Linked DNA regions of Caenorhabditis elegans. The protein of the gene in region 2 purifies or fractionates together with the protein of the main gene of each other region. This does not show direct contact. Each region holds a gene or a part of one and is shown on either strand. Other genes may lie near its edges.

Region 1 (4,012 bases), on a different chromosome or scaffold from region 2:
TATTCACCCTCTTCCTTTTTCCGGTCTATTGTATTCAGGAGTTAGAGTCTATAAACACATTCATGCTCGTCTCACACAACAACCTCGCAGTTTCTTCCAACGCCCTTCACTTTTTCTTTTTTTTCTCCTTCTTCTCGCTCCCACCAACACCCCAAAACATTTTGAAATACGCGGGCACGCGCCTGTTTGCATTTGAGTGCGCGCGCATTGCCCCGACGACAGCCGAGTCGCACACTCCAACACAGCCGGGTCGCGTGCGACGCGGCTGTGCAGCGTGCGACGCGCCCCGCCTATCTCGCTCTCGGCTTCGCTCAGCCATCTTCTCTTTCGTCTCCCAATGCCACCCATTCCTCCACTCTTTGAAACTGTTATCTTTTGGCTCACTTCATTCTCCTCCACTTTCGATATCTTTTCTCTGTTGTCTTACGAATGCTGCTGCTGATAAATGCGTACAATCTGATGTGTACTCTTATCGAAAAAGTAGCCTGTTTGTTGACATGAAATATCTTTTGAAAAAAGTTCCCGATGACACATAACTGGGGAACTCTTCTTCTTTCATCTATTTCATTATTTCTAAACTGTTCAGATTTAAACAATTCACGTCAAAAGTTTTTCATGTTGCGGGCGCAAATACTCTGTACTCAAGTGCCTCCGAGCTTTGCAAATTATATTTTTAATACTCTGAAGAGCCTTATTCGTACTAACATACTCCTGTTTCGTGTCATAAATTGGGTCGCTCAAATAATTACCTTGCCGTTCTTCCATTATCCTTATCTATCTCTTTGACCTCCGCATTCCGCATTCACAACCGTTATTATAACTACTACCGAGTACCCGGTGTTCAATTAATTTAATTTTGTATTTTTTGCAGCCAAATCCGTTCAAAATGGTTGACCGCAAGGCTGTGATCAAGAATGCCGACATGTCCGATGACATGCAACAGGACGCCATCGACTGCGCCACCCAGGCCCTCGAGAAGTGAGTTATGAGCTTTCTCATTGCATTTTAAACGCTTGAATAATTCGATTGCCATGAACAACACTTGGTCGCTTAGTAGAGAAAAAGTGTAAAGAAATGTCGTTTAGCTGTTTGGAACGGCTCATCGGTCCCTTGATTTAAACTAAAGTGGACGGCAGCCCGAGTCTAGGGGAGGGGGCGAGCAGGAGCGACCAGCTGATCGAACAAATCTGATCCTTGTGCAAGAAAAAAGCGAAGCGATGAAAGTCTAAAAAATAAAATCAAAACATTTTTTTTTCAGATACAACATCGAGAAGGATATTGCCGCTTACATCAAGAAGGAGTTCGACAAGAAATACAACCCAACCTGGCATTGCATCGTCGGAAGAAACTTTGGAAGCTACGTGACCCACGAGACTAAGCACTTTATCTACTTCTACCTTGGACAGGTCGCCATCCTGCTATTCAAGTCTGGATAAATCCCATCCTGTTCTTAAAAAACATTCAATGATCTTTAAATTGTGACCTGATCCTACGTGTACCTTAGGTGGCGTAGGATCTTCAGTGTGCACTCTTGTTAAATCTTCCTTTTCCTCCCAAAAAACATTTTCCTTCGTCGCATTCTATTTATTTAGCTCAAACTGTTCATTTTCTTTGAATCTTCCTCCATCACCCATAAATCTTCTTACGTTGTCCGTTTTTGAGAGAAAAGAGAACTCATAATATTTTTGTTCTCGAAAAGTGCTCGCACTAAAAGTAAAAATAAAAGGATAGCTTTAAATCCCTTAATTATCTGTGCTTCATTTTTATACTCGAAACTGAACAAGGCAATAATTTAAGATAGAAATGTCATCAAACGATGTGGATCAAAACGATGATCGAATTGCTCAAATGATGATGCCAGCAGCAATTGTGACTCGGCTCATGAAAGAAGACAATATTTCTGCATCAAAAGATGCTCGAGACGTCATCGCTCGTGCTGCAGCAGTGTTTCTCATAAACTTGTCCGACGTTTCGGCTCAATCTGCTCGCGATCAGAAGCACAAGACGATCTCAGGAGATGATGTTGTCAAAGGACTCCGAGAGCTTGAGAATACTTCTATTCACAATCATGTAATTATGGGTTTCGAAAGAGTTAAGAAATTAAAATTTCCAGTGCAAGTCCGCCAACGATAAATGGAAAGTTATTAGTCAGCAGAAGGCTCTCGCTCGTAAAAATCCAGTTGAATCCAGCTCTGTCAATGCTGAAATGGATGACGACATTATTGACGATACTCCTGTCGATGGTTAGTTCTATTCTTTAAATCTGAAGTTTATCTGAATAATTTATAATATTGCAGATTCATTGATGAACTGATCACTCATAACCAACTCATTCCTGCTCAAAACGATCCTTCCTGTAAAATCTCATTCCGATTCTCAACGCGTGTCCCACTTTTGTCTCTAACATTTCACTTTGATAAACAATTTTGGCCAATAGTTTATTGAATGTACAAAACCCCGAAAAAAAATTAAAGCGATCTGAATGCCCCCGAAAAAGTGCCCATAAATAAGTGAATCGGCATGATCAATAAAATAGCGAAAAATGAGAATTGAATAATTGCACGAAGTTTGGCGAATCCATTGTCTGGAACTCGAAAGTCTGCACCAGAGGTAGCTGATCTCTTCCACATCACTTCCCAAGAATCGAATTTTTGCTCCTGTGTATTCTTCTTGAGCCGTATCAATTCATTGCAATTATTTGGGAATCCACGAGAAAGTTCAATAATTTGACGACTCAACTGCTCAGAATCATCGAAAAGATATCCATTAGTTTTCTCCTCAACGAGCTCATCAATACATTTGAATTTTAGAGCCAATGCTGGAACTTTAGCTCCAAACATATCAACAACTTTCATCGGAAGATCCAATCCAGACGTGCTTGTGTGCAAAGAGATTCCTAAGTCAGCAGAGGCTAGAATCTTTGGATAATCTTCTGCTTCCAACCATGGAGTCAATACATCGACATTCTTCAGATTTTTCTCGTGAATTTCTTGTAAATATTTCGCTTTCAGTGGACCTTTTCCAGTGATAATCATCAAAACTCGCGGGAGTCCGATTGTTTTGTCATATGCAACCAGCGCATCGAGAAGAATTTCAAACCGTTCATCAGGTGTCCAGGATGTGGAAGAGAGAAACACAATGGGTCGAGTTGTTAGTAGCTGCACTACTCCGTTCGAAGATTTATGAGTCAGAATTGTGGAGTCTTCGTCTTTTCCTTGTAGAATTCGTTCCTTTTGTGAAAGTCTTAGATACAAATCATGGATCTCTTGTATTGTTGTGTCTCTGAAAATTTCGAGATTAATTTTCAGAAATTTCACATTTGTTCAAACCTAAATTTCCACGTCGGCGGCCTATCATAGAATGTGCTGGCTCTGATGCCCCATCGATCCATGAGATCTCGACGCATGGCATTTGTTACACACAGATTATAATCGGATAGTTTTCCACATAGACCTTCTAGGAATCCAACACATCTCACAATTCTGAAAATGTAAATTGTTCAATACGAGTTTGATTTATTGTACAGACGCGAATGTTTTGGCTAAAATACGTTGCCCGGTCTCGGCACGACAAGTTTTCGTTAAATATGAAAGGTTATGCGCCTTTGAAGAGTACTATAGTTTCAAATTCGTTGCTGCAACAGTTTGATGTGATTTTTCCAGTTTTCGTAAAAAATATTTTTCATGGGATAAATTACAGTACTCTTTAAAGGCGTATGTCATTCTTCGTTTCACAAAGATTTGTCGTGTGGAGACCGAGTACCGACTGTTTTTTTTCGCGTCGGGGAACAATGCCGGTGTCCAATACTCACTGGGCTTTTTTGGTTTTTTTATCGTTTCCAAAAACTTGATCATCGGTCAATTGGTATTTATTTTGTAGAATTGAATACATGTAATTGTGCCAATCAATTGAGAATTTTGCGAATTTGAATATGGAAAACTGAAATTAAAGTTGATATTTTATAACGGTAGTCAGTAGAATCCTACCATGAAACAAACTATCATCGTCGGAA
Region 2 (6,527 bases):
TCTCTCTATCTCGCATCTCAAATACCTGACGAATGAGATGATCGTCTATTAGTTGATCATCACTGCAGACGAAAAAGTGTACGAACTTGCACCGAGTACAATTTTGAAAATTAGTTTGAATAGTTGTGCCATAGGAATTGTAGAAATTAAGAAGCCAGAAGTGTCGGCATTACCAAAGTGACACCTTAGAGTCGTTTTGTGTGTCAACTTGGGCTCGATGAAAGTCTTGTGTAGTAAACATCGACGATGGCACGACATTTATTAATGAATGCGGACGGTCGTCAGTTGTTCTTTCGTGGACGTCCTTTAGCCGTCATGATGAATGTGTGTAAAAAACCTTTCAGCCAGTGTTAAGAACAAGAGTCGAGAAGAGGTAGCTTACGTGAAAAGCTCTAATGCAACGTCGGTGGCTAAAGATTGCTTTTTCCGTTACCACAAGAACAACTTCGTTGTAAACTTGTCAGATTTTCTGAACAGGGATCGCTGGGTTCAAGAACAGATACGAGTTGGAAAACATCATGAGAAACGTTCTGCATTTGCAAGATTGTTTTCTACACGACGGGACAACACTCGATAACCGTAAAATTTATTGCAGGTTCGGAGGAGTGTGACCTCCCGGAGCATTCTTTATAAGCCCACTCATTTCTACCAATCTACGAAGAGTTCATAAAAGCTTTATGGGAACTTGAAGAAATTGAAGAAGTGATGAATTGAAGAAAGAAAAAGTGACAAAATGCTTGAAGCATTATAGTTGTAACTTCAAAATTCTTATAAGAAACTGTAGCTTCCGTTTTTCTGATTGTATTTATCAAAACTTTAGTTGATACATAAACATATGTATAAATTGTAAGTGACTGAGATTTTCAACTGATGCCTACGTTTTTTTTAAATTAATTTAAGATTATAATTTTTAATTTAAGTCCGAAAGACCGTTATAATAATGTTTTAAAATTTGTTTCACCATTTCCAGTCATTTTTTAGTCTGTCATGATTGAAAATAATTGACATGCATTTCTAAAAATGATAATTGCAGAGAGGCTCTATCTCGGAAGTGTGAAAAATATTTAAAGGACCACAAAACTTCAAATATTTTTTTGTTTCCTCCAGAAAGTTCGACCTTTATATATTCTTATCAGCAAATATAAAAACATGTAATTTGAAAGTTTGCTCGTTTTTAAAATCAAATTTGAAAGGCTTTTTAAGAACCTGAAAAAATGTGAAAAATGACGTTATATGAAATGCATTATCGTGTGGAAAATTATATACTAATATGCATTTGTATAGGGTTTCTGAAAGTAAAAAAAGTTAATTGTTACTGATTACGTTGAAATAAAAATTTTGAAGATCCAATGACTAAAAAAAAGTTTAAAAGGATGATCGTTTTTAAGCATTAAGCTCTGCGGATTTGGGAGTTAACTTCCTAATGGTGCTCCCAGTGGGCTTCTTGGGCAAAATCAAAAATAAATACGCTATCAGGCCAATTGGGCATTAGACTTGTGCAGCTCAGTGCTGTTTTGTGCCAATCAGTGTCGCTTTTTGGGCGCACTGGCCCGCGCTAGAATGGTAGATTAAACTGTCCACAATCTCTCCAATTAAAATAATTTTTACAGCACTTGTTCACGACATAGTGTACGATAAGTTTTAAAGTTGATTTTTTCAGCTTATTTTTTCTTGTGATAACATTTTAATTAGTGAGTATTAAAAAACTTTCAAATAGCTTTCAATTTGAACAAATTCCAGACTGGTAGTAAGAAATCTGCTAGAAACTTTACTTTTTGGCTCCATTCTTGTAAAAATTCAACTCAACTTAAATTTGAAAATGTAATACAAAACATTTTTTTTGATGTCTTAAAACTGGGAGAAAAATTGTCAAAAAGAAGACTTCAATAACCGATTTAAACTGAACAATTTGGAATTGAACAAAATCTTTTTAGTATCAACCAGTAAAAAGTTACTACTCCATGATGCTTGCGCACTAGAATTTTTCAGTGTTCAACATTGCACGCTTGTTTCGCCTTTAGCATTCAGCTGATGGATCAAAATTTCAATAACTGCAAATTAAACTATTTTTTACAATTTTATGTTACCTAGCTACTTGAAAAAAACTTTTGATCGCAACCGAGATATTTTTTTGAAGAGAAAATACGAAAAATCTAATTGGGAATAACGAAAAGAGCTCAAATTATTTTTGTACCAAAAGTTTTTCAATTTTTTTGAAATTACATGTGATTGTTTTTGTATTTGAATTTTGTTAGGCTTAAAAAAATAATTTCTAAATCTTAGTTAAAATAGTATTGACATAATGGTTCACGTGCTGATCTGAATGAGAATTAATCCTACATATATAATGCAATAATAATGTATATGTTAAAAAATTAATAAGAACATCACACTGTCACTGTTTCTTAAATTATTGTTCAACATATTTATATTTTATTAGTTTGTTTAATCGGCAGGCGTATTTAAAGTTGAATAATCGAAAATAAATTATGAAATAACTATTTTTCGCAATATTAAAAACTATTGAGAAATATTAACTTTTTCGCACTTCTTGCCTTCGGTATTAAAATTTTATATATTGTTGTAAATATTCTGAAATGTATTTCATTTACAGTTGTCAATCATATCAAGTTGTATTGGAATAAGTACCTTGCAATAACTGCAAATTTAAAAGTTTCTCACATTTAATTCATGATGTTTGATGATTTATTTTCAATAAAATTGTCCTTTTTCCAGACTATCATGAAGTGCACAAATCACTGAGCTTTCTCATTAAAAACATCAGAACAATTATCCAGAGTTAATAGTCTCCCTCAATCACCTACATCACGTTTTTCAAAAGACTCCAGCCTGTTTAATAGCCTTCGGCGTTCTTTTAATCTGAAAAAATAGCGAGCGAGATGAGGAGGGCAGTGGTGGTAACCCAAGCCTCGAGTATTTTACAAGAATGAATCTTACTGACACCTGACGAAGCCTTCACAACAGTCTCTAGTAGCGGTGGCTACTATCATTTGGACTAGGTTGTCTCCTTGAAATTCTTCCTTGAAAACAGGATGACTAAATTATGTCTTTTACTTTTACCACTAGTTTTCCTAGTCTCTTATTCGTTTGCAGGTTTGTTGAAAAGAAATTTAAAAAGTGTTATTATTCATAAGAATGAACATTTCAGAAGAAGAAATAACCATTTCCATTAGCCCAAATGCAAACCCAGTTCAAAAACCAATTGGTCACCAGATTTCTCTTGTGTGCTCTATTAAGAAGACTGATAGTAATGGAGAAAAACCAGGAATGATCTGGAAGAAACATGGTGGACTAGACCGGTATTTCAAGATCCCTATTTTCCTATTAAATATAACCCAGCTAATGTTTTAGAACTGGAAACGTCGAGGTCAAAAAACTAGACGACTACACTCTCGGACTTATTATCAGAAATTCCAGTGTGGAGGACAGTGGTGTGTACTATTGTCAAGCTCAGGTTGGAAGTAAAGTATACATGAACAAGATGGATGTAATCGTTTTTGGTAGGTCTCAATGTTTGTCGAGATTTTGAAAAAATAATACACTTTTTGCAGAGGACATTGTCTTCCGAGACAAACAACTTCACTTTGGTCAAGTTCTAGCGACTGCTTCGGTTAATATTTCATGTGAGGTATCCGCCAAGAAAGACAGTGTCATAACTTACTGGACTCGTCACGGGAAGCAAATCCTGGAAGGTTTGTCTTGAGGAAATTTGTTAGTTGAAACAAGGTGTTTTCAGGTGGTAAGCACAAGTTCTACAGTAGAGGGTCTATTCTGGAAATTCAAAATTATCAACCAGAACAAGACGCAGGACAGTATACATGCGAGGTAAACGAAAAATATAGGATAAAAACTTGTAAATTATCTTAGAATGGGCTTAGATCTAGGAATGACAGCCACTGAGCAAAAAGATATAAAATTACCGTAGTCTAAGTCATCAAAAAGTGAGACAATGGCGGCAGCCATCAAGGGTAAAATTTATGAGTTGCGTCGACAAAAGGTGCTATTTAATTTTATGGTAATTGTAGGGAAATGTTCTTTTGTGTGTAGAGCTGGTAACCGACAGATAAATACAGATAAACCTTATCAGTAAACTGTGAAACTTTTATCAAAAGAGAAGTGATAGTTTTTTTTTGAGAAAAAAGGAAGGGATTTTTGACAAAATATCTCGGTATTTGGCGCTTAATTTCGGCAAAATAAATCTAGCCATAAAGTTGGCGAAGTTTGGTTTTTTTCTTGAATGCTACTTAACCAAGTTCAATATATTTGGGCAAAATTTTTGAAAATAATTTTTTCTATGAATATAAAGGGAATTGAAAGAAGCCTATTGAGGTGCTTCGAGTTTTTCAAAAAATTTATTAAAAAATTACGGTTATTTATGATCTTTGATAACTACCCAGTATAAAAGCAGCGTATACGTTGTAAAACATTAATATTAACAATGTCTTTGTTCGAAACTTGTCACAGAAACTGGCTAAGTATTGCAATTATTATTAAAATATTGTACATATTTTGTTTGTCACATAAATATTTTTATACAAAACAATTCTAATGTGATTTCAAAACACAATGGGATAACATTTTACCAAACGTAAGAGATAAACATTTTAATATGATAACATTTACTTTTTTGAACACTCTAGTTTGTTGAATATTTTTGATTTATTTTTTTTTGAGGTAAAGAACTTTTCAAAATTCTAATTGCAAAATTTAAAAGTAATTAAAAATTTAAAAAAAAAGAAAAAATTTTGTTAATTTTTTTAAGTTTTCTATTCCGTCATTATAGCTTATTTTATGTTATTTAACATTTTGAAAAGTTAAAAAAAAACTGTTTCTTTATTATAGGTGTTCCATGTAAGCAGCGGCTCATCAAACACAAAAACTGTGACTCTTGGAACCACAGGAGAGAAAAACTACGTGGCATGCCAGCAGATGTGTAACAGTTTTTGCACTGATGTTCACAACAAAGTATTTACCAACAACTAAATTTTGAAGTGTATTGATTTTTTTCTCATTTTATCATTTCAAACATTTGAGTCACTGGAATAACTTTGATTCTTTTCAATAAATTATTATAGCTAAAAACATTTTTCTGATCGTGTTCAACGCAACAATATGAAAAAAAAACACGCTAATAGAAAGAAATATTGAACAAATACGGCATTTCTCATGAATGTTTTTGTTTCCAGTAACAAAAGTTCCCTACAAGCTCACGAGTGCTTGGTTGAACGCAATTTTTTTCCCAGGACTGTATGCATAATATATATTCTCGTACGAATATTTTATGCTACAACAAACATAAAAGTTGGAAAAAAAATAATAAAATATTTCATTGGTCCAAAAAACAAGACGAGTATCATCATGACGAGGTTGGTGTTCACTCCCACATACATCTTTCACCACTGTCCGGATAGATACCTTCGGCTTTTTGCCGAAGGTAGTGATAGCATTTGGTGGCAGCCCATATGGCGCCTATACAAATTACGATTCCCAAATATATTGATATCACCATTAACATTTGATCTGAAATGTAAATGAGATTGCGGGAATATGTGGCAAAGAGATTCAGTTGGATACGATGTTATACATACAACTCCGAACAATTCTTTTATTATTTTTTTTTCAATTTTGCAAAAATTCAGATGAATGATGCAGTACTCCATTTTCCAACAAAATTAAATGGCCTTTCACAGTTTGAAAAAATGTAATTTAGGATAATACAAAAACTAATCACCGAGAAAAAACCAGTTCAATTCGCAACAAAAAAAAAACGGAAAAACTCAAAGTAGCGTAGGCTAATAAGCCATTTCATATGTTTTGCTGAAACAATTTGAATAAAACTCATAAAAATTGCACAAATGTTAATAACTATAAAACTGTACAACAATTAAAAAAATTATTTTAATTTTGAATCGTTTTATTTAAGACGTTACAGTAGATAAATCAGTTAAGCTTGTAAAAAGCTGGAAACAATAACTCTGCTAACTTGAGAAAATCGAATCAATTGAAAAAATTTTTAAAGTGACCATTACCACCCGTTTTATGCTATTTAAAGCAAATTTCTATGAACGACCTTTCAAATTTCAAAAATCACGAAAAAAAACCGGAGAAGAAAAGAAACTCGATGCAAAATCAATAACTGGGAGGAACCTGATTTTTATTTTCCGGTTTCAACGGGTTCATTTTGGTTTTTTTTAACATCTATTTTATGCTGATTTTTCATTGTTTTGACTGTTATTATTAAATAAGCTGTCGTTAAATTCCAATTCAATACTTCATCTTGTCATTCGAAATTATTTAGAAACATGGGCTATGAATTTCATTTTTAAATAACAATCCGACTTTTCAGTTAATCCTCATTCCCAATATTTCCAAAAAAAATTCTGAAATCATACCAAATTTTTGATAAAATTTCTGCCTTCGAAACACAATTGTATAGTAGAGAACATAATTGGCAAGAATGAAGAAACAGACGCATTGCGTTATCTTAAAAACAGCAATTAGTCTTC

Evidence for each region.
Region 1: the proteins of zig-6 (region 2) and pole-3 fractionate together in Caenorhabditis elegans (co-fractionation; one large-scale study listed by BioGRID). This does not show direct contact.

Annotation. Positions count from the first base shown.
Region 1 is NC_003281.10:6,460,639-6,464,650, reverse strand, and holds pole-3 (DNA polymerase epsilon subunit 3), read left to right. Parts: upstream 1-1,794; 5' UTR 1,795-1,803; coding exon 1,804-2,070; intron 2,071-2,113; coding exon 2,114-2,243; intron 2,244-2,297; coding exon 2,298-2,314; 3' UTR 2,315-2,435; downstream 2,436-4,012. Other genes in the region: dlc-1 (Dynein light chain 1, cytoplasmic), read left to right, coding at 887-978, 1,259-1,436; algn-1 (Chitobiosyldiphosphodolichol beta-mannosyltransferase), read right to left, coding at 2,469-3,282, 3,330-3,482, 3,812-3,939, 3,987-4,012.
Region 2 is NC_003284.9:5,185,492-5,192,018, reverse strand, and holds zig-6 (Zwei Ig domain protein zig-6), read left to right. Parts: upstream 1-2,941; 5' UTR 2,942-3,053; coding exon 3,054-3,114; intron 3,115-3,169; coding exon 3,170-3,320; intron 3,321-3,372; coding exon 3,373-3,521; intron 3,522-3,572; coding exon 3,573-3,713; intron 3,714-3,757; coding exon 3,758-3,846; intron 3,847-4,863; coding exon 4,864-5,004; 3' UTR 5,005-5,103; downstream 5,104-6,527. Other genes in the region: T03G11.9 (MARVEL domain-containing protein), read right to left, coding at 5,396-5,541, 6,414-6,504. UniProt on the Caenorhabditis elegans protein: Probably not involved in maintaining the position of ASI and ASH head neuron cell bodies and ventral nerve cord axons of PVQ, PVP, RMEV, AVK and HSN neurons.